Linked DNA regions of Caenorhabditis elegans. The gene in region 1 interacts genetically with each later gene. Each region holds a gene or a part of one and is shown in the gene's direction. Other genes may lie near its edges. The genes, in order: clk-2, yju-2, B0280.9 and pros-1.

Evidence for each region.
Region 2: changes in clk-2 (region 1) and yju-2 together harm fitness more than expected from each alone (negative genetic interaction), as found in Caenorhabditis elegans (one large-scale study listed by BioGRID).
Region 3: changes in clk-2 (region 1) and B0280.9 together harm fitness more than expected from each alone (negative genetic interaction), as found in Caenorhabditis elegans (one large-scale study listed by BioGRID).
Region 4: changes in clk-2 (region 1) and pros-1 together harm fitness more than expected from each alone (negative genetic interaction), as found in Caenorhabditis elegans (one large-scale study listed by BioGRID).

The regions. Positions count from the first base shown.
Region 1 is NC_003281.10:7,514,683-7,520,510, reverse strand, and holds clk-2 (Telomere length regulation protein clk-2), read left to right. Parts: upstream 1-1,986; coding exon 1,987-2,142; intron 2,143-2,193; coding exon 2,194-2,401; intron 2,402-2,452; coding exon 2,453-2,586; intron 2,587-2,633; coding exon 2,634-2,966; intron 2,967-3,017; coding exon 3,018-3,170; intron 3,171-3,219; coding exon 3,220-3,323; intron 3,324-3,367; coding exon 3,368-4,532; intron 4,533-4,638; coding exon 4,639-4,733; intron 4,734-4,782; coding exon 4,783-4,888; intron 4,889-4,934; coding exon 4,935-5,114; 3' UTR 5,115-5,289; downstream 5,290-5,828. Other genes in the region: akap-17A (RRM domain-containing protein), read left to right, coding at 1-349, 404-562, 609-734, 913-1,028, 1,071-1,155, 1,206-1,584, 1,637-1,773; cls-1 (Protein CLASP-1), read right to left, coding at 5,345-5,410, 5,455-5,828. UniProt on the Caenorhabditis elegans protein: DNA damage checkpoint protein required for DNA damage-induced cell cycle arrest and apoptosis, thereby playing a role in genome stability. Regulator of telomere length.
Region 2 is NC_003281.10:7,182,627-7,188,397, forward strand, and holds yju-2 (Splicing factor YJU2), read left to right. Parts: upstream 1-1,709; 5' UTR 1,710-1,721; coding exon 1,722-1,751; intron 1,752-1,865; coding exon 1,866-1,927; intron 1,928-1,978; coding exon 1,979-2,049; intron 2,050-2,146; coding exon 2,147-2,325; intron 2,326-2,326; exon of another isoform or gene 2,327-2,410; coding exon of another isoform or gene 2,411-2,442; intron 2,443-2,485; coding exon of another isoform or gene 2,486-2,531; intron 2,532-2,577; coding exon of another isoform or gene 2,578-2,757; intron 2,758-2,801; coding exon of another isoform or gene 2,802-2,897; exon of another isoform or gene 2,898-2,947; intron 2,948-3,575; coding exon 3,576-3,829; intron 3,830-3,875; coding exon 3,876-4,122; intron 4,123-5,040; coding exon 5,041-5,169; 3' UTR 5,170-5,242; downstream 5,243-5,771. Other genes in the region: epg-4 (Ectopic P granules protein 4), read left to right, coding at 1-93, 139-378, 429-572, 802-991, 1,041-1,190; F37C12.14 (Ovule protein), read right to left, coding at 2,411-2,442, 2,486-2,531, 2,578-2,757, 2,802-2,897; F37C12.10 (uncharacterized protein), read right to left, coding at 5,263-5,522, 5,606-5,726; F37C12.21 (uncharacterized protein), read left to right, coding at 5,731-5,771.
Region 3 is NC_003281.10:7,120,370-7,124,743, reverse strand, and holds B0280.9 (U3 small nucleolar RNA-associated protein 18 homolog), read left to right. Parts: upstream 1-1,848; 5' UTR 1,849-1,852; coding exon 1,853-2,008; intron 2,009-2,113; coding exon 2,114-2,189; intron 2,190-2,235; coding exon 2,236-2,444; intron 2,445-2,492; coding exon 2,493-2,673; intron 2,674-2,724; coding exon 2,725-2,825; intron 2,826-2,882; coding exon 2,883-2,976; intron 2,977-3,023; coding exon 3,024-3,156; intron 3,157-3,394; coding exon 3,395-3,734; 3' UTR 3,735-3,839; downstream 3,840-4,374. Other genes in the region: B0280.2 (uncharacterized protein), read right to left, coding at 1-57; rpia-1 (Probable-ribose 5-phosphate isomerase), read right to left, coding at 586-885, 1,010-1,252, 1,300-1,452, 1,500-1,559. UniProt on the Caenorhabditis elegans protein: Involved in nucleolar processing of pre-18S ribosomal RNA.
Region 4 is NC_003281.10:8,065,591-8,071,998, forward strand, and holds pros-1 (Homeobox protein prospero homolog 1), read left to right. Parts: upstream 1-1,698; 5' UTR 1,699-1,747; coding exon 1,748-1,806; intron 1,807-1,855; coding exon 1,856-2,006; intron 2,007-2,523; coding exon 2,524-2,670; intron 2,671-2,736; coding exon 2,737-2,956; intron 2,957-3,309; coding exon 3,310-3,494; intron 3,495-3,541; coding exon 3,542-3,764; exon of another isoform or gene 3,765-3,895; intron 3,896-3,925; coding exon 3,926-4,397; intron 4,398-4,813; coding exon 4,814-4,958; intron 4,959-5,004; coding exon 5,005-5,112; intron 5,113-5,360; coding exon 5,361-5,435; 3' UTR 5,436-5,873; downstream 5,874-6,408. UniProt on the Caenorhabditis elegans protein: Transcription factor involved in developmental processes. Controls the transcription of genes required for excretory canal formation.

The DNA.
Region 1 (5,828 bases):
ACAATCAATATCTAATTGGGATCTCATGGAAAGACTAAAACGTGCAATTGATCCAATTCAAATGGATTCTTGCAAAGTTCGTGAGAGCAATATCGACAGTGTTATTTTTGAAGCGGAACTTCTTTCGCTAGGAATCATGCAGAAAACGATGAAGATTCTCGATGGATTCTCTATGAAAGTGTCTGGATTTGCTGAGCCCTTGAAAGTTAAAACAAAAGAGGCAAAGCTTGATTTTCCAAGTCGTCATGATTGGGATGATTGGTTTATGAAACATAAGATGGACGAGATGAAACCCGGAGAACGTCCTGATACAGTTTATTTGGCAAGAATTCCAGTGAAATGGTTCTGCGTACGTTGCTCCATAACATTGCATTCGAATTTATTTCACCAAACACATTTTTAGGATGGTTACAATGATCTTCCTTCTGAACGACGTCTTCGCGTTGCAATGGAAGCGTTCGGATCTGTTAGAGTTGTCGACATTCCAATTTGTGACCCACTCCGATCTCGAATGAATTCAAAAATCTCTGGTATTCAGCAAAAAGGTTTCGGATTAGGGCAGGTATCGCAGTGTTTTATTTGTAAAATCAAACGAATTGAATTTTTAGGATGTATTTTTTGAAGCATATGTGCAATTTATGGAGTATAAAGGTTTCGCCACTGCCATGGATTCCCTGAGAAATCGTAAATGGGCAAAACGAATTGATGGACGGTTCTTTCAGGCTAATGTCAAGGTATAGTAGGGTAGTAGAGTTAGTTTGCAATTTTGAAAAATCTATCACATTATTTCTAAACGTTCAATATCAATTTTAAAAATTGCATATTCTTCGCTGAAACGAATCACCTCGTGCCACTCTACAGGTTAGTTAATTTCCCAGAATTAAGGTTGAGAAATAGCTTAAAATTTCATAGGTGGATTTCGATCGATCACGTCATCTCAGCGAAGTTCAAATTGCAAAGCGAGCGGAAGAACGACGTCAAATTGAAACGGAACGACTGCGGCAAGAAGAAGAGGAGTTGAATATCAAGTTTGTTGATGCTACAATTTTAAAAATAACTCACCTCTTCAGACGTCAAGAAGAACTGAAAGTTAAACAAGAACTCGATGATAAAGATAGAAGACGAGAAGATAGAGAACGGAAACGCCGCGAAAAGGTTCACTTGAAACGTTTCAAAAAATCATAATAAAACATACGAAATTTCAGAGGGAACTCGAACGAATGGCTGAAGAAGAGAAAAAACGCCTTGAAAAGGAACGACTTGAAGCAGAGCAACGATCACGAGCCACTCGCCGTTTGCAAGGTGTTCGTCTTTTGAAGTTTCTGTTTGAAAAAATTGAAGCACGAGAAGAGAGACGAAAGAGAAAAGAAGAAGAAAAGTTGAAAGATGAGCTGAGCAAAATCAAAGAACTTGAAGAACAACCTGTAGAACAAGAAGACGCATTGAGGCAAGCTCTACTTCAGCAGAGGGAAATTCGAATGCGAGAACGCTTGAAAGAGAAGATGAAAGCTTCAGGAGCAGAGAAGGATAAGAAGAGAGATAAAAATAAGACTTCTAGAAGAAGACGAACTAATAGACATGACAGTGAGTTACCTTAAAATTATTGTCTATTTTTTAATTAAACTTTTTTTTTCAGCTTCATCCTCTTCATCCGAAGATTCTGATTCTCCATCTGATTCTCCCCACTCTCGTCGACAAAGAAAACGTCAAAGTGAAGGAGATGATTTCCGGAGACATCATCATCGGGAGAAAAGTAGAAAACGTGGATCCTAAGAAAACGCGGATCCTATTTTTGTTTCCTATTATTTTACCGGTAATTTCACTTTTTTTAAAACATATTTTTTGATTTTTTTTTCAGAATCTCAATAAACGTATTTACCTCTATTTTTTCTCGTGCATTATTAAACCCTAACCTGGTTTAATTTACTACTCCACGTTCAATTACCTTTCCTGAACGCGAGCTTCGCATTAAAAACAAATTTTCAGATGAATTTACGAAGTCGCCTGGTAAATGCCACGGAACGTGCTGTGCTTTTTCAAATTTTCAAAGATGTGCAGAATGATCCGGAAAAGTACGACAATGCAGTTGAGGCGATCTGTGAATCAATCGACTATTTTGGCAAATTTTTGACCGATAGCGAGGTATTGTCCTGAATTCAATATTTGTGTAATGTTTTATATTTCTAATTGTAGTATCTTACACAAATCAAGCCGATTCTTGATACACAGTGCCCAACAAAGTCGATAATTTGCTTCTCGAAATGTTTGACAAAAGTGAGCACAGATATAAATACTACCACATTTCGAGATGTGATCACCATGCTCGACTGGTTGAAGTATGTCGTTGAAAAATCGCTGACAAGTGCTATTTGTAGCAGTCTGAAAGTTAAAGAAACTGATGGTATGTGATCAAAAATAATTATTCTTCAACTGAGGATTTTTGTTTTTTCAGTCAGTGCAGTTCAGTTGTATCGAGAATTCGCATCAGCATGTTCAAATATTCCGGAGAAAGTTTCGAATTGTTGTGCAAAGGCATTGTCTGGCGAGCATGTCAAATATATCAACACGGTTAAGTGGATATTCAAAGTGGGTTTATAAGTGAAATATCGAGATAGATAACTTCAATTTTCCAGATGAATCTGGTGCAAGGAATTCAAAAGGCTATGCTTCTTGCTCACGACGACATTGTAACTGCTGCCCCGTTCACTTCATTCTACGGATCCGGTGGTCCTTATATGAAGACTGTCGCAGAAATTATTTCATCTGGAAGAAACATAGATATCACCAACAAGGATGGGCTTCTAGTTCAAATGATTGAATGGATTGGTTCACTAAACAATTTTGATTCTCAATGGCGTCGGATGATGTTTCTCATCTTCCAAGAGCCCACATATCAGGGAATTCAAGTTCATGAATCACTACTGACAACATTGTTCCTAATTTCGAAAAGTGACCAAATCTTGAAAGTTAGTGGTTAAAATATAGTTGATTATATGAAAACCAGTAGTTTCTTTCAGCGATGTATCGAAGCCACTGATCTGACTGGAACACTGAAGCGTGTAGTGATGGTTAAGCTCCCGTTTCAGCGAGTTCTCAAACGAAAGACCATCGAGATTCTTATCAATTTTGTTTATCGAACTAAGGAACAATTTGCCATCCAGCTATTAGAGGTAGGGTTTTGAATCTATATTTTCCGTATTTAGCGAAGTTTTTTTCCAGACTTCTGTGAAAATCTGGAGTGATCTCAATTACGCAAAAAGTGCTCCAGAATCACAAGAACGACACATAGTCAGAATGATATTATACTTGGTTCATCTTTTCAGGTAACAAATATATTAAGAACTACAGTAATAACCTGTCCTTTTAGAACATGTTCTTCAATCGATTGGGAGTCACTCTTCCTGAACTCTATGGATGGAGTTCATTGTCGAATGAGCATGTTGCCTATGTACGTCCAAAGTGGTATTTTTGTTAATCAAGCACTGTGCAAGCAAGCGACAAAGCATCGATCGAAAACGCACGGATCAGATGAGCAACCTCCAGAGACTCTAGAAGAAAACAAATTCGTTTCAAGTGAAGTGGGAAAAATATGGTTTGAAGAGATGACGTCAATTTTGGAACATGGATTTAATTCTTCTACAGTGAAAGATTCTGAGCGAGTTCGAGAAACCGCCAACGAAATAACCAAAGACGATTCGGGTGAAGAATTTGAAGAAACCAATGCACAGCGTCTTCAAAACAACAAAGATTCGGCAGCAATCACATCGAAAAACAATCTACGTTTAGATTCTGATGATGACGAAGACTTTCCTGACTATCAAGTTAATGAATCAGAAAAGATCTTCAAGAATTTAGAAATTGGAGAAGAACCGAAAAATAAAGTGACACCTCCAGCATACATTGCAGATGCTTTCGAAATGCTATTAGAGAAAGAAAAATACGAGGTTTTTGAAGCAGCTTTCTTTAATATTACGAATTTGATCAATCGCCGGCCAATTGGATTTCCACAAATCGCTGAGAAGTTGTTCATCCGAATCCTCCATCTTCAAAACAATTTTGGAACGCCTAAATTCAAGGAAACTGTTGATGAAATTGCAGTTGCATGTATCACTCAGCGTCCAGAAATTGTCCCATCTGTAGTGCGTCTGATCATTGCACCAGGTCAAGGTTTCAGTATCAAACAACGTCTTCTTCATTACATTCACAATGCTGCTGATGGAATGGGTGCATTGGATAAGAAACTTGAAGAGTGTGTAATGGCGCAACAATTGAGAATTGGTGGTCCAACGTTAAGTATTATTCTTCATCGAACTATAAACACTGATTATGACGATGAGGATGAAGATCCCCACAGACTTTTAGTTCCTGAATGGCGACGAATGGTGGATGCTCGCATTGCTGCAAATACCAGAAGAATTGGAACGACGCGAGAGCCACCAAGAGCCGGAGTTGTCAATCGTCTCGCACAAGCTGCCAAATATATGTTTTATCCTTTGTTGGTTTTGCCACGTGGTGAGAACGCAAGTCTTTTGGTGAGTACATATGTTTCACAACTTGTCAATTCCTAGTTTATTACGTGTTTTATCTTAGCAATTTTAGAATTTAAACGTCTGATTACTCTAACTAGAAACATTTCAGGGCAAGGACTCCGATCTACTCGCCTCACTCATCATGGTTGCATCGATGGTTTATGTGAGATGTGGCGTATGTCCTCAAATTCATCGAATGTCAAGGTATACCTTTTAACAAGGTTGTGTACAAATTAGTTTTCCTGAATTTCAGTGAGCTTATATCATATGCAACGCCTCATCGATTCTCTGAAAACGCAAAACTACGGACTGCCTGCATCATTGCCCATCTGAATGTGACGACTTTGTTGCCTGGAGATGTTAGTTTGAAAATCAATTTTATTTGATGTTTAACCAAATATTCAGCTTATGGATGAACTGTTTGATGTACCGGCACTTATTGGATGGTTTGATTGGGCCAATTCTGTACTGGTTAATGCATCTTCATCACAATTGGAAAAGGATATGACTCGCCAGTTTGGTCATAGTGTTACAAAACACCTTCAACGTTATCATCCAGCTGTACTGCAACACCAAGACGTTTAAATAGTTACTATTCACTTGTTTTCCTTCTTTTCAAGTACTGTATCATTTCTTACTATCTTGCCAACACTTTGATCTCTACCTCGTTCACTTCTTGCTTTGCCACCCGTTGATATCACCTGTCTCATTCATTTATCAGCATGTTCATAATATCAAAAATAAAATCTTATCAAATGTATTTTACAAAACTGATTGAGTTGACCCGCTTGTTGAAACATTCCGGCTCTTGTGTTCTAGTTAGACGATGCTCCTGATTCGGATGACTTGGCGCGGCCCACGTACAGGTCAATTAGGTTCAGCTGAAAATCGAATGTCTCTTCAAGAAATTTAGTTAAATCCTTACTTTACTGGCATTTAAAGTTCTCAAGTGTGGCTCCATTCTTTGCATTCCAACTCTCTGAACCAGGGCGACTAATCCGAAAACTGCACATTTTCTTACTGTAGATGACATTGATTCGTAGGCAGTGACAAAACATGGTGCAACGTCATTGACAATTAAGTGTAACTCCTCAATATCAATATCTTGGAACATTCTCGTCAACATTTTCAGAATCAGAACACCACGTTGATCATCATCATCTTGACTCAAAATTCGCCTGGAGATCAGAACGACACGCGTAAGAGGCAGATGAGAAGCCAGGATTCGAAGACAATCTTCTGCTGCAACACCCATCGTGTTGTCATCAGATGTACATGCACATTGAAGAACTTTCGAAA
Region 2 (5,771 bases), 330 kb from region 1:
TGAACGAACAGTTTTAATGATGAGACGAGAAAAACAAGGAATTTTCAAAAGACCTCCTGAACCACCGAAGAAGAAAGATAGCTTTTTGAAAAAGTATTTTATACTTACATGTTAAAAACTGAATAAATTTTATTTCAGACTCTGGCAAATCTATGCTATGAATATCGGTTTCTTGGTTCTGTGGCAGGTCTGTATATTGATTCTTGGTCTATTCTTCAGCTTTTTCGATCGAACTGATTTGGGTCACAATATCGGCTACATTCTGATTATTCCCATCTTTTTTGCTTCTCGAATCATTCAGGCACTTTGGTTCTCAGATATTTCAGGAGCCTGTATGAGAGCTCTAAAATTGCCACCACCACCTGTCGTTCCTTTTAGGTTAGTTTATTTAATAATTATTTCAAAAAAATAAAACTAAAAAATTTCAGTTCTATGTTAGCGGGAACTCTCATTTCTGCGCTCCATCAAATTTTTTTCCTCATTCAAGGAATGCTTTCGCAATATCTTCCAATTCCTCTTATCACACCAGTTATCGTTTATCTTCATATGGCTCTACTTAACTCAATGTACTGGTAAGTTTTAAACATTTTTTTTACTAAAAATAAATCAAAGTTTCGATAAATTAAATTTTTGCCAATCAGTCAATTTAATGCTTTCTCAGCACCTCTCCAATGGAATGTATCAAAAATTGAAAATAGAAAAACAACAGAACCACCAATATCGCCAAAATTTCTAAAATAAGAATGGTAAAAAAGATTTAGCTGAAACTTTGAAAATCAAATAATATTAATAATATTTCAGTTTCGATTACTTCTTCGACGGTTACAACCTTTCATTCCTTCGACGCAAAGATATTTTCGAATCACACTGGCCGTACTTCCTTGGTTTTGGAACTCCCCTGGCACTTGCTTGCTCAATCAGCAGTAATATGTTTGTGAACAGTGTCATTTTTGCACTTCTCTTCCCATTTTTCATCATCACCAGCTATCCGGTTCGAAATTAATTTTAAATTTAAAAATTGAAAATTTTGATAGTTTCAGGCAAATTGGAATAGAAAATACGAAGAGGAAATTCCGAAAATTGCATTCTGCCGTATTTCATACATGTTCACTGAACTTGTTGGAAAATTCGTCAAAAGCATTACACCAACCAATAATCCAACTGCTGCTCGAAATAACGCTCAAAATTAGATGTAAAATATGTTCAAAAGGGTTCAAATTCTCGTGCCATTTATTTTTAACTTTTTTCGTTATCTTTTTCCCAAATGTGCCACTCAAAAATATGAGTATAATTTATGTCACTTCTAGTGCATCCTCAGTTCCAAAAACCTGATTTTCCTGTACATTTTGATATTTCTTGTACATATTCTTACACTTGTGCTCATGCCCATTCACTCAGTTTTTGAATAAATTACGGCTAAATCAATTATTTTTTGCTACTGTGTTTTTGCAGGTTTTTTTTCCATCGCTATTTACTTACCATTCTTTCATAATTTTGATATTACTGTGAATGTAATTGCAACAAATCTTTTTCTACGGGATCTGTGTTTCTACAAAGTGTGTAAGTGTAAACACGCTCCAGTGCAAATGTTCTCTGCGTCTCTGAGTTACATAGAGTCTCTAGGTTTCGAAACAAAATATTGTGAATATTGACGTTTATTTAGTTTTTCTCAAATTCTACCAATACATTTATTTTTATTTTGAATTTACAGGTGATCAACAATGACAGGAACCGAGAGAAAAGTTTTCCAGGTGAGGAAGATTCTAAAGTACTATCCTACATGCTTTTTTGCTAGTTTAAATATGAAAAATTGCAGAAAAAACAGTTAAAAAAGAGTACCTTTGTTAATTTATTTCTAACTTCAGAAATACTATCCACCGGATTTCGATCCATCAAAAATACCACGAGCAAAGGGACAGAAAAACAGGTTAGTTTTGTTTTTAATTTAGTTCTTCATTTATTTTTTTTCGTTTTACAGACAATTCGTTCAACGTGTTATGACACCATTTAACATGCAATGCAATACATGCCATGAGTATATTTATAAAGGTAATTTGTGATTTTGTTCACTGAAGCAAAAAAAAACCATTAAAAAAATAAAATTTTAATCTCCAAAAAATCTTTATGTGTTATTCTAAATTTTCAGGTAAAAAGTTCAACATGAAGCGTGAAACGGCTGAAGGAGAAACGTATCTCGGTTTGAAACTGTTCCGATTCTATTTCCGATGTCCTAATTGCCTCGCTGAAATTACTTTCAAGACTGATTTGGAAAACTGTGATTATCAGAATGAGCATGGAGCAACAAGACTTTTTGAAGCTGTCAAAGTGAGTGTTTAGATAATTTTTATTTGAAAAAGCACAAAAAACTTTATTTGCAAATAAGTTATGTTGAGTTATACATTTTTAGTAGCTAACAGTCCATACGAGTGAGCTGAGGCATATCTGAATTATAAAAAATATTATGTTTTTGAGTATTCCGACGTACCTGAGTAGTCAGCCTTTTCCACTTTGAAGTCATACTCTGAATTCTCCTAAAAATACAATTTATTTTGAAATCCATATACTTTGGAATCTTACCCTCTTAAAATCTAGGTGACTGCTATTTTCAACTTCGATTTCCATTGGCTTTTCTGGTTCCAAAAGATGCATAGGTTGATCTTCAGTCAGTTGAATAATATTTGAATAAAATGTATTTAGATTAGGAATCGAAAATTTCCACATCTGATTTTGAACTTGACTGTACATAATCACTGGGCTCTAGAAATGCGATATAGACCTTAATTGTCTGAATCTGTACTCACCGAGATTGAAAAAAATGTGTAGATACTTGTAGGTGGTGGACACCAAATGCCATTTAGTGGTGCAAAGTAATAGAAATTGGGAAGAGGCGTTGTCATGAGAATGATTATTTCAAGATGATCTCTGTCAAAAATAAAAGATGAAGGAAGTGACATAGAAACTAAGAATAATTGCATTGGCTATGAAAGCTTGGCTAGGCAGCAGAAAAACTTCAATACTTGACGGTTTCAGGATTCAAAGAAAACCATAGAGATTTATTTATGAGAGTGTTTTTCGACAAAAAATCTTTGAAAATACTACGGTATGCCACGAGAAATCATTAGAAAGATGAGAAAAGGCTGTGGGTGTGTATAATTGAAGAGTTTGAGATGTTTCCTCGGCAACAAAGAGCTTATGAGAACAATGACAGGATATAGAAAAGGATTAGATTAAATATATGAGAAGGAGTGACTATGAAACATTTAGTTTGAAAATTCCAAAAAAAATTATGAGGTCATGATAAATCTAACCGTTGGAAAGAAAACAACTAGTTATAAAAGATAATTATATAATCAATATTTTTCACAAAAATTGACCAAATTAGCTTTCATTTTAGTTAAAACCTTTGAAAAATGCTCAAAAATTGTCTGAAAGTAGTGACAAATGCCCGGAATTTTCCGAGAAGTTCCAACTTTTCATTTTTAATATTAAAAAATTATCTGGATCATCTAAAATTTGAAAGTTTTTGTCCAAAAATTCGAATAAAAGATATGCAACGTTTATAATTTAATTTTCAGCTTTACCAAGATCAACAAAAACAAGTGGATGAACAAGAAGCAGAAGATGCGAAGGATCCCATGAAAATGCTCGAAAAGAGAACAATGCAAAGTCGTCAAGAAATGGAAGAAATGGGAAATCTGGAAGATCTTCAAGAATCAAGCAGAACGAAAGAATGTATCGACACCATTGGTTTCTTGTCGTCAACTGATCCTCATATCGCACAAGCTCAGAGAATTAAAATGATGGAGGACGAGGATGATCGAATGGCAAGGTATGTCAAGATATTAAAAGAAATTAGAAAAATCAAGAATTTTCAGAGAACTCATGGGAATCACTTCAGAAGGACGAATCGAGCGACGTATTAAGGATGATGAGGATAACTCAGATGGTGCAGATGAAGATGATAAAGATATTCCTGGTCCAAGCGCATCGGTTGTTCCATCTACTTCTTCCATGCTTAAACCAGCGATCCCGAAACTTGGAATGGATGATTCAGGGAATTCAAGAAAACGAAATGAGCAGAGAGATCGATTCGCGGGAATAAAATTGATCAAAAAAGCGAAGGTATGAAAATAAGAAACGGATTCGATATTTTGTAGTTTATCGCAATATACATCAATACTTTCTGATCTTTTTCAAGGCCGAGAAAACGAAAATTTTCGGTTTTCCGTTTTGCTAGAAAATCGTTTATCCAGAAATTATTTCAAAAATAGTGAAATTTCTGATGAGGTAGGGTATCAGAAAAGTAATCCATTTTGAGCAGAAAAAAAGTGTAGAAGCAGCCCACACGTCAGGGAGTCCATTTAAATTTTGTATCCACTGGATACATCACTCAAATTTTTTTATTGGCGTAGGCGCATGTTCTTTGAAATTTCTGTTTTTATTTTCACTACAATATTTTTTAAAACAAATTTTGCAGTTGTTAAAAATTATGTCTTCGAAACTTGACTAATTATTTTTTTTAGTACCCGACCGCGATATTTTGTGATTTTTGCGCAAGAAATACGGCATCCCGTCTCAACACGCATTTCTTTGTAAAATACGAACAGGTGTGCACCTTTAAGGAGTACTGTAATGTCAAACTTTCGATGCTGCGGAATTTTCATCTACTTTTCAGTTTTTTTTCAATTTGGTAAACTTTGTGTGGTTTAAATTGTTTTATTTAGTTGTTTAAATAATAATAATAATAATTTATTACGCTCGCTGGGAGACGTGAAGGAATACAGAATACAAAAGAATAAATAAGTATAATTTTAACGAAAAACTACTGCGAAATCATTGAATCAAAGCTATGAAATCACAGTATTCTTTAAAGGCACACACCCGTTTGTATTTTATAAATATTGTCGTGTCGAGACCGGGGACCGTCTTTTGTAGCAAATTTACGTGTCTGATTGTGAATAATATGGGAACATGAAAAAAAATTCAAATCTGCAGAGCATTAATAAAATTTGACCTAGTTACATAATTTATTATTTTCAGCCATCTGAACCTTCTACATCTTCTACTGCTTCATCTACATCGTCGGCTCCTCCTCCGCTACCATCTTCAGCTGCTTCATCGGGACTTTCACTTCTCGCAGATTACGGATCTGGTTCTGACTCTGATTAACTCTTTTCTGTAGATAATTTTCATTCTTTCGAATTGAAACAAAAAATCAATTATAAATTTCATTCCAAAAAGTACACAAATTTTTTAATCATATCAGGCTACCGCTGCTGCCACGAAAACAACCAATTTCTCATTTGGCGCCTGCACGAAACACAAATTCTGGGAAGATCTGTTGGGACCAGGATCCGTGTCAGCTGTCGTCCTACTGTAGTTGATCGTGTTCACTAACCAAATGGCATTACGGTAGCCCGAAACTTGATCTTGAACTGATTTATTGATGTCATCAACAGTTCGATATTGTTGCAAAGCTGATTGGACCATTGCAAAAAGTGTTGGATCTGGACAAATCCATACTGAAAAAACTTGGAAAAGATTTTTTGGAAAGTAAAGTTAACTTCGATATTCTAACAGATTCTACAATATCTTACGTACCGACCTATTAAATTTATAATCTGTTGATCATAACTTGCTTTGACAGTAACACCCATTGGAGCAGTTGAACCGATTCGCAATAAAGAAAGAAAACAAAGAGCAATTATAATAAATCCCGCTTTCATAATGATGAACCAAATTGTTAACACCGATAAAACTGTAAAAAAGGA
Region 3 (4,374 bases), 390 kb from region 1:
TAGAACACTATTTTTTTCGTTGATCTCGAGGAAATCACTCAATTCAGATGTAATCATTTGGAAATTAAAATTTGAACAATCTGGAATGAATAGAATACGAATGATACGATTTGACGAAAGTGCTTTTTAATACAGCAATTGTTAAAAATTTTGAAATATTTACTTATTTCCCAACTTTATCAGTATTTTTGAAATTATTGCTCGCTCTTAATTTTACCGCCTCCAATGAGTCATTTAGGAAGCAAATTCTCATTTCTTTCAATCTTTAAGCTATCCTCGCCATTCATACACTTCAAGACTACTGTAATTTGAAATTAAACAGTTTCAGACACTTTACATCCAGACACTTTACATTTCAAAACGTTTTCAGAGTTTTCTAATTTTTTTTTCAGTTTTTTAAGAAAGACGTTTTTTCAACACAATTTTTATTGGGGCTATTCTAAGAACTACACGTATACTAGGAACATTGGGAATGAATGGGTACAATTTTCACAACAACTGGGAAGAGGAAAAGTGAAGTTTGGAGAGTGTGGTGGTGATAAGAAACAACTAATTTTCAATATGAACAAAATTCGATGCAAGTAGTCAGTGCTTCTTGGAATTGACAATTTCCTTGACAGATCCGTCAGAGTACGCGAAGAATACTGCGTCGACGCAACCGATGAATAATCCGGTTTCAACAATTCCTGGTGTATTGGCCAATCGTTGCTGAATCGCGAACCAATCTCTTCCGGATACGTTTTTCTCGAACTGCCAATCAATAATGAAGTTTCCATTGTCTGTCACAATTGGTCCGCACTTTTTGACAGCTTGTCGAAGTTGACAGCTTCCACCTTCAGCGCGTGGAATCGAACGTAGAAGTGGTTGAGCAGCAAGAGGTAGAACCTGCAATAAATCTCATTAAAAACAGTCAACATAACTACATCTATTTAGAAAAAACTATTGTTCTAAAGTTTATTCTTTAGTGCATCTTTCTTTACTGATAATTATAAAAAGTTAAATAATTTACCTCAATTGGGACATTCGGATAGCGATCACCCAAGTGTTTGGAATCTTTTAAATAATCAGCGATCACGTAAAAGTTTTTTGCAGCGGTTTGAACAATTTTTTCTTGAGCCAGACATCCACCTCCGCCTTTGATGCACGTGAACTGTCCGTCAACTTCATCAGCTCCATCAATACACACATCCAGTTCTGGATGTGAATCCAAATCGGAGACAGGGAGACCAGACTCAATCAGCCATTGTTTTGTCTGAAATACTTATTTATAACAATTGGGTTTGTTGAAAATCTGTTTACCAAAAAACTGGTTGGAACACAGATGATATCCTTGAGACTTCCATTCTGAAATCCTTGTTTAAGATATTCTACCAAATACTTGACAGTGCTTCCGGATCCAACACCAAGACGGCAACCACTTTGCACATATTTTTCACCGCAGGCAAACGCAGCCTGAAATGATTAATGAGGGTTGGAATTGGTCTTAATTTTTGACTTACTCGTTTCTTCGCCTGCTCAATAGGAGCCAGTTCTGCTTCAGGGCCGGTGGAGGTGACCATTCTGGCGGTTCGCAATACTCCTGATAATGGAAATTTTGTAGAAAACATACAAAAATGCTGAAAAGAAAACGAAAACAATAGTAAATTGATAAGAAAGACTGAAATTTTCAGCTGAAATACTGAAATTAATGAAATTCTGCATTGAGACGTGACGGTGTTTGCACTAAAACTACGATAACACACACTATTTGACGACAATTGCTTCTCATTTTTCTTTTTTCTTTTCCGAATTTTCTTTAATTTTCAGCTTATTGAATCTTTCATTAAGGTTATTTTGAACAATTTTCAGAGAAATGAGCAAACGGCCAGTGATTGAGTCTGAAAAGCCTGCGTGGCACGATGAGGACGACGATAATATGGTTGTGGCGGTTCCAAAAAAAGTGAAAATGACAATGCGAGTTGAACTCAAGCGAACCACAGACGAAGAACATGGAGAATTGGATTCAAAGGTAAATTTTTTTTAGAAATACGTTATTCAACGTGTAATAAAGATTATATAATTGAAAATAGGCAGAAGGATAAATTACTTCTGAAAAATAATTTTAATATTTTAGGAATACGTTGGTAGATTGCAAGAGGCGTTCAGAAAACGCCACGGAGGCACACCAAAATGGGCTAAGGCTGCTGCAGGTTTTTGGAAAATCAATAGTTCAAAAATCGTATTTTACAATTTTAGGAGACGAAGAAGAAGGGTCATTGTTGAAAACTGCTGCCGGATATTTGGCGAAAGACGTGAATTTACCAAAAACAACTATTCATACAACTCTTATAAAAGATTTCAACATCGGACACCGATACACTCGTGGAATCACTGTTGTTAAATTTCATAAAACCCGACCAGTGCTCATTGTTGCCGATCAAGGTGGAAATGTTCAACTTTTTAAAGTAAGTTGTGTTTTCTGTTTTAATTAAACCATTCCTTACTTATTTCAGGTAAGTCGTGAGGTTAAAAAGGATCGTTTCCTTCAAAGTGCGAATTTCTCAAAATTCCCGATTGATAGTCTGGAAATTGCTGATAAAGGACACTCTGTGATCTGTTCTTCAAGCCGAAAGGAATATTTGATGCAGTACAATATGGAAACAAGAGAAGTGACACAGTTGAAACCTCCAAACAGTACGTTTAATATTTAATAAAATTTGAAGCAAAACTTTGAACATTTTACAGCAGTACCAAAGCAAGGAATTCGGCTCTTTGCCATTTCGCATGACTCTCAATTTTTGGCAATTGCAGGACACAATTCTCACATCTATGTTCTCCATGCTACTGTATGTCAAAAAATTAAATTATTGGCAAATTAAAAGTTTAAATGTAAAATGTTTCAGTCGATGGAGCATATCACAACAATATCACTCCCAGCAAATGCGTCAGAAATCAAGTTTTTCCCATCGCACAGCCGTGAAATTTGGATCATCTGCGGTTGGTTTTATATTGCCAAAAATTCAAAAATTATTCGAAATTTCTAGAGACCGGCCAAATTGTGATCGCAAACATTGGATTGCCGGGAACCAAATCATCGCAACATACATTCACCGACGATGGAGCTGTGCACGGAACAACACTCGCCATCAGCCAACATGGAGATTACTTTGCGACTGGGTAAGCTTTTTTAAAATCAAACTTTTATAATTCGTAAAATCACGATACTGTCATTCATTCATATAATTCATATATTAATATAATTGTACAGTTTGCTACATCTTTTTTTTTGTTGATATTTTCAGTTTAGCAACAAAAATTTAAAAAAAAAAATCTTTTTTTGTTGAATTCCGGTGAAAATAAATGACCTAGTCTTTACATACATCCTGATTATATGATGAAAATTTGAAATTTCCAGAAGTGATACCGGAATCGTGAATGTCTATTCTGGAAATGATTGCCGCAATTCTACAAATCCTCGTCCACTTTTCAATGTTTCTAATCTCGTCACCGCGGTCTCATCAATCGCTTTCAATTCTGATGCTCAATTGATGGCAATTTGTTCAAATGTCAAGGACAATCATCTTCGTCTCGTCCACGTGGCAAGTCAGACAACATTCAAAAACTTCCCGGAAAGAAACGGAAAAGTGACACATGCAAGATGTGTGGAGTTTTCTCCAAATGGAGGATATATGGCCGTTGGAAACGATGATGGACGTCTTCATGTTTTTGAAATTCATCATTTTACAGACTATTAATTGGTTCTAACATTGTTATTCTTTTCTTTGTCGTTGATTTCGTCCAAATTGTTTTGTTTTTATTCTTCATCCGTTTTTTTGTTGTTATGAAAATTTATCGTTTTTATTCCAACTTCCAGAGCAGCTTTTGAACCACTGGAAGATTTAAAAATACAAACCGACGTTTGCACAAAAAATTCAAAAACAGTTGAACGTAGTCCTAGTCTGTACCGAAAAATGACTTGATCGTTCTTTGTACACTATAGTGACATAGAATTGTCTCAATAGTCGCCAGTTAGAAAAGGGTTGAACAACACAACGAACGATCGAAAATGACGAAAAATTAACAATGAATGTCAGTTTTTCACGTGAAGTCTGGTAGAATTAGTATAAGAGGAACAAGAAAAGTTTAATTTGTTTCTCCAAAGTCCGTTTTTCGGCAGATTTTTCACTGGAGCACAATAACCAATGGTCTCTTACCGACCTACTTGTCACCCGATTTTATTGTGTTTTGATGTCTTAATTCTAGAATTGTGATCGTTGATTATTTGATTGAGAGGAAAACGAATTCAGATTTCTTATCGAAAAACCTACAATTATAACTTTTCCGATCTGTCAATTTGGCCATTTTTTAATTATTTTTTTTGAAGATTAAAAAAAG
Region 4 (6,408 bases), 550 kb from region 1:
ACAGCACTACAGAAACTTATAGGATATGCTTTTGATTTCTGTATTTTCTAAGAAAACTACTTGAATATATTCTTCTGAAAATTCAATGTGCATCTGGAATTCTTTTGACAGTGCAGACTGCGAAAATGCCTCTATGCCTGCGATGCTCAAAACTTCATGAACCCTAGTGTTTGAAAAAGCTTTCACAGTTTGGAAAAAACCACAATTAGGGATCAAAATCAATATTTACAAAAAACCAAAAAGATTCGCTTTCAATGCGACCTACGCCTAGTTTACCACCTAGTTTCCTACGAGTTATGACTTTTAGCAAAAACTCTTCAAAGCACAGGTAGGTAGGTACAAAAATGACTGAAAATGTTAGAGTTTATGCTGACGCGGCCCACCAGGTTGCGTACGTACAGGCGTTATTGCTTCAATGATCCTAAGTATACACAAAGATAAGAATTTAGAAAAACTTAACTGGAAAATAAAAGCTCAGCCATTTTTTCGAGAATTTAATATAAAATTTTAAAAATCAGAAAAAAAATAAGTACAAATCTCAAAATCTTTCTAGAATGTTCTTCGAAAAAAGAAGACGTTGACGAAATTAAGAATTCAATCTTCGTCCATTGTTCTGCCAAGTGCATAAGATTCTTCTCTTCTCTCAAATTTATACGATGAAAAATTAATGTTTCTTCCGATATTCTTCTTTTCACACAATTTCTTTTTCTTATTTATATTCTAAAACGAAAGTGTCAAGGGAGAAGAAACTAAAAAAGGAGAAATGTTTAGGAGTCATGGTGATTTGAAAACTTTGAAGTATACTTCTATATGTCCTCCTGTCCTAGGTCTCCTCTTGTCCCATTAAAACTTCACACATTTTCTTTCCCAAAAACTTTAGTCTTCTTAAGAATGACGTGAAATTTATGGGAGAATTAAAGAATGCTCCTCTCAAATTTCTTTCTGTTTCTCTCAAAAACTACCGTAGTCGTCCCCAATCGTCTCCATTTTCATCTTCTTCAACCTTCTCCAGAGACCCATTACCTAAATTGTTTCTTGTGAGCTACACATATGTGCCTCCTTTTGGCTCCTTTTAGTCACTCAGACAAATCTCTTCCTTTTTGCTTTTCGCAAAAGGAAATTAGTTTTCCACTTAGGTTCTCAGCATTTTCAAATTTTATTGGAAATTTTCCGAAGCTCCATTGGTCTTGAGCGAAGAGTTTTTGTAAAAAATGGTGCTAAGAGAAATCTTAGACTCTCTATAACTTTTAGCGATCTTGATTGAAGTTTTTTCTGATCCCGTAAGATTTAGAGAATTCATACACGACATGACGCCTAAGTACCCTATAGATACTGTAGACGTCTTCCAGTAAAACATCTGAAAGTTGTTTCGGTATGGAAACAGAGATTATGCTAATAAAATAATTCGGCAGAAAGTGGCAAGTCACTTGTCTTCGCCCGTTTCCTTTTTTGCATAATCCTACTTACGACCGTTATGATGTTGATGATGATCGAAAAGATTAGATGTATTTTTGAGTATGACATAACAAAAACTTTCAAGTTGTTACCGTAATCCACCCCCTTCAATTTCAATATGTATATCCTTGGCTCTTGTATATGTGTATGTATATTCTGATTTAATAACATTTCGACTCCCCACTGTGCTTTTCTTGCCTTCTCTTTATTCGTATTCAATTTCAATTCTTTATTTTCTTTCAGGTATTCCAATTCCAATTGTCAAGAATTCAGATAGCTAGTGACGTCATCAATGTCATCTGGATTGCCTTCGATTGCTGCTACCGCACAACCGAGTGCCAACGGATTCAGGTAACAGACTTTTACCCTGGAACTCTTTAAAAAACTAACAAAGTTTTAGCTTTAACAACGGATTCCCACCATTCGGTATTTACTACTCTCAACTTCCCCCTGTTAACTCTAACGGATCCACCCCGAATTCAAGTAACCGATTCAAAGTGAAACGCCATCGACAGAGAGTTGACGCCGGTGAACCAAGAAACACATATCAGGTAGGCAAGAAACATTTTTAAACCGGCAATACAATACTCCGGACTTTTGTCTTGCATCTCCATTTCTCACCTTTCAAAGCTTATCTCTCTCTGAATTTTTGACGAAATCAAAATGCCAAACGCAAAACCAAACGCATATAAGTTTTCAAAGTAGATTTCAGTTAACTCAGTTAATTAGTAGTAGCTTTAGTTAACTGCAACGTAAATGTTGGAAACTTTAAAGTTGACAAAAATGGTCAAAACTAAATTTAACTGTACTGTAAGTTGGTATGTTTTTCTTGGCAAAGTAGTTCAAGGAAAACACAGTTTTCTAACTGAAACGTTTGATAATCCCGACAAAATCGAAAAAATAAATATGCAAATCTACGTGTCATAATCATAAGATAAGTGTCTTCCTGTATTTCGGCGGCGACATATACATTGTTCCTTTACTTTCCCATCAACTAATATATTCATTTCGTGGCGGTTGCTAATCAGCTCATCTCATTCTCTCTTTTACTCCTTCATTTTATTCCAGGGAGCCTCTACATCAGTCTCTTCAAATAGTTCTTCATCATCGTCTACATCAAATACAAATTCAACACCTTCTTCATCTTCAACATCTTCAAAGAAGTCAACGGAAGGGATGACTGAGACGGAAACGATGACAGCTTCAATTGAACAGGTACGAGAAGAGAGAGGAAGAGGGGATAATAAGATTAGCCTAGTTATTTATGATACTTTCTTATAGGAAAAAGTGATTCAAAATGAAGAATCGGAAGCTGGTAAAGATGGAATGGAAGAGCATGATGATGGAATGAATGATTTCGAAATTATTGATGATACAAATGATGAAGTTGAAGAATCAGAAGAACGGGAGAGCCCTGAAAGTAACAGTAGCTCTGCTTCAAAAAGGAAAAGCTTTCAACCACAGAAAATTGGAGAGGAGTTAGGAATTGAATTTGGAGATGGTTAGTTTTATTAATTGATGTATCATATTACCGTTGTTCTTGCATACTTACTTACTTGTTAGGTATTCAGTAAGTCAGTAAGTTTGTTAGCTAGTTAACTACTACTTCACTTTGAAAAAAAAATTCTCACTTCCTTTTAAGCAAATCAATAAATATTACACTACAAAACGATAGTCATAACAAATATTTTGTCAGTTGACAACTTTTGAATAGAATCAACGACCTTTGAAATACATATAAGCTGTCAAATTTGTAGTACAAAAATAATAGAAAACATTAACTTGATCATAAACTTGACTCATAAACTTGACTGTCTTAACTTAAAAGAAAATTTAATAAATTCAATTTTGCAGAAACGGAGCAAATTAATGTTACTGTTGGAGGTACAGAAGAAGCCGAAGAGACTACAGATGAAGCTGAAGGTAGAGAACTCTCGGCTCTTCAAGCTCAGCTTCAAAATGGACATATCGCTGAGCAGCAGAGACGATTTTATGCTGCATTTTTAGATCAGCAACGGAAACAGGTTGCAGCGGCACAGGTATACAATTAAAATGTTCATTAACTTTCTAAACTGAAAATGTTTAGATTTTGCACAATGGAAAGATCAACATCGAACGTCTTGTCTCCTCGGTTAAAGGAGATTTAGTTACCAATTTCATGAAAGATTTGGAAAAGGTGATCCGTGATTGGGCTGCCGATGAAGTATTAAAGCAAGAAGCTGCTGCTCCTCCTCAGATTCCACAACCTCCACCTCAATTCCATCCAATTTTCCCTGCAAACCCATTGTTCCACATGGCGCCTCCACATCGTAAGTTATTTACACAGCTTTTCTATTTGCCCTTTGACCAGAAAAATGTCGGCCGAATGGTCTAGTGGTATGATTCTCGCTTTGGGTGCGAGAGGTCCCGGGTTGAATCCCCGGTTCGGCCCAACATTTTTTGAAAAAATATTTGCTTTTTGCTCTTGTAGATCCAGTTGCTGGAGGTGGAATTTTTCCTCCAAACTTCAATGCATTTAACGCATTCAACGCTCTCCGAAGAAATCTTCAAGACGTAGATACCTCGTCGGAAATGAAAAAGAAGCGAACAAAGGTGGAAATCAAGAAAGAAGACGCAATGAGTAGCCGTGCATCACCATTGAGTGCATCTGCCAGCCCACCACTCTCCAGATTCTTTCCAGCACCAACTATGGTTGGACACTACGGTGGAATGAACTTTGGAGATCGAGAGGACTCACCAACAAATTCCGATGAGCTCAGTGAATGTGGATATGAAGGTGGTGGCTCAAGTTCAATGTTAACACCAATGCACTTGAGAAAGGCAAAGCTGATGTTTTTCTACACACGATATCCAAATTCAAATCTGCTGAAATCGTATTTCCCTGATATCCGATTCAATAAGAATAACACTGCACAATTGGTGAAATGGTTCAGTAACTTCAGGTTGGTTTTAATAATGAAAATTCTTCTCTGGTACTCGCCATTGATTTCTTAACTTCATGGTTATCTCCTGTTGTTTTGTTGTTTGGAGTCATAATGACCTTTCCCATTACAAATACTGCTTCATAATTCGAAAAAGTGATGAGGTGAAAAAGAAAACAAACAAATCCTCGTCTCTCTCAGTCCAACTCGTTTCGTTTCAAACAATGAGAAAAGGGTCTTAAGGTGTGATACGCGTCGTTGGCGAAGAAAAGACATCATCATGTCGACGTCTTCATCATAAAAATGTGGGCAAAAAAAGAAAATGAAGAAGGAGAAGATTATTTATATTTGAATTGGATTCAGGAGATGAAGTTAGGCAATGGGGAGACGAAATCAAATAGGTTCTTCTTATACTGTACCAACTCAAATATTTTCAGAGAGTTCTACTACAATCAGATGGAGAAGTTCGCGAGACAAGCTCTCGCTGAGGGAATTACTGATAGAAATGATATTTTTGTGTCAAAAGACAGTGAACTTTTCAAAGTTTTGAATACACATTATAACAGAAATAATCATATTAAGGTACGGTTTCTTTTCGTAAGCAACACTAAATTTATATAATTTGCAGGCACCAGATCGTCTTGTATTTGTGGTTCAAGAGACTCTTCGTGAGTTTCATGATGCAATCAAACAGGGAAAAGATATTGAACCATCATGGAAGAAAACAATCTATAAGGTAGGTAGGAGTGCCTTCATAACAGAGTTCTAACAATAAGACAGTAGGCACGCGTGTAGGTATGTGATGGGCGTTGCCTACGAGCAGGTCTGCATGAAATGGTAGGCGCACATGTAGGCATGAAACAGGTGCACAAGGCAGGAGTGGCAATTTTTGAGTTTCTCAATTGGTGCTCAAATATTTTGAAAGCTCTAAACTTTTGTGTTTTGCCATATTCCAATAGAAAATCAAACTTACCCTTTTTGCAGGTTATCAATCGATTGGAAGATCAGATTCCCGACTTCTTCAAGGAGCCAAACTTCCTCGAGCGTCTTGAAACATAATCACCATATATTCCCTCTCATTATCAGTTTCTCAATATTTCAGTTTTCCTTGTTTATGTGTTCCATTGTGATTTTAAAACTTTATTGCCCATGTTTTCCCTCATCCCATTCGAATATCAATTACCCCATCCAATTTAACTCTCATTCCTTGACAACTTTCATTCTAAGTCCCCATTTCAAAATGTGCAATTTAATATTTATTTGAGCTCTCTGGAGCTCGTCTTCCTCATTTTCTTTGTCAAACGCTTTTTGTGTTATTGGTTTCAATTGAACATTCAAAAATTCCCAATTTTGCCACATGGCATAATCCTCCAATTCTATTATGGTTTCCATTTTCCCCAAAACTTTCTGTGCCTCCGATTTCTATATTTTCATTCGATGTTTCTTATTGTAATATTGGTATGGAAAATATGGAACATTCAATATCACTTGCGGTCCTATAATTAAAACCAGAAACCTACATGCATCTGGCCCGGAAAAAAACAGTATGCAGACTTCTTATCGGTGTGGCTAATAGTCAGTTTTGCTATTTTTGCTCCTATAACACGGCACACGGTCTCACGATATTTTTATTAAGTTCCAAAAGGTGTGCACCTTTAAAGAGTACTGTAACTTCAAAATCTCGTTGCTGCGAAATGAAAGAAACAGGATAAAAGTGAAAGAAAATTCTGCAGAAATGAATGTTTGAAATTACAGTACTCTTTAAAGCCACACACCTTCTCGCATTTGATAAACATTTGTCGTATCGAGACCGGATACCGTACTTTTGGTACAACATCGCAAAATTTCTCGCCCGTGTAATAATAATCTTTAAATAATGTTAAGGTATACCCCCTCTTGTGTGCAATTCATAAATGGCGGCCGAGTGATAAAAAAAGGAAAAGTTTCCATTTTTTAGTAAGATGTTCCAATTTTGGTTCGAAAATAAAAACAAAAAAGATAACAAGTAAAACTGTATATTTTCAGAATACAT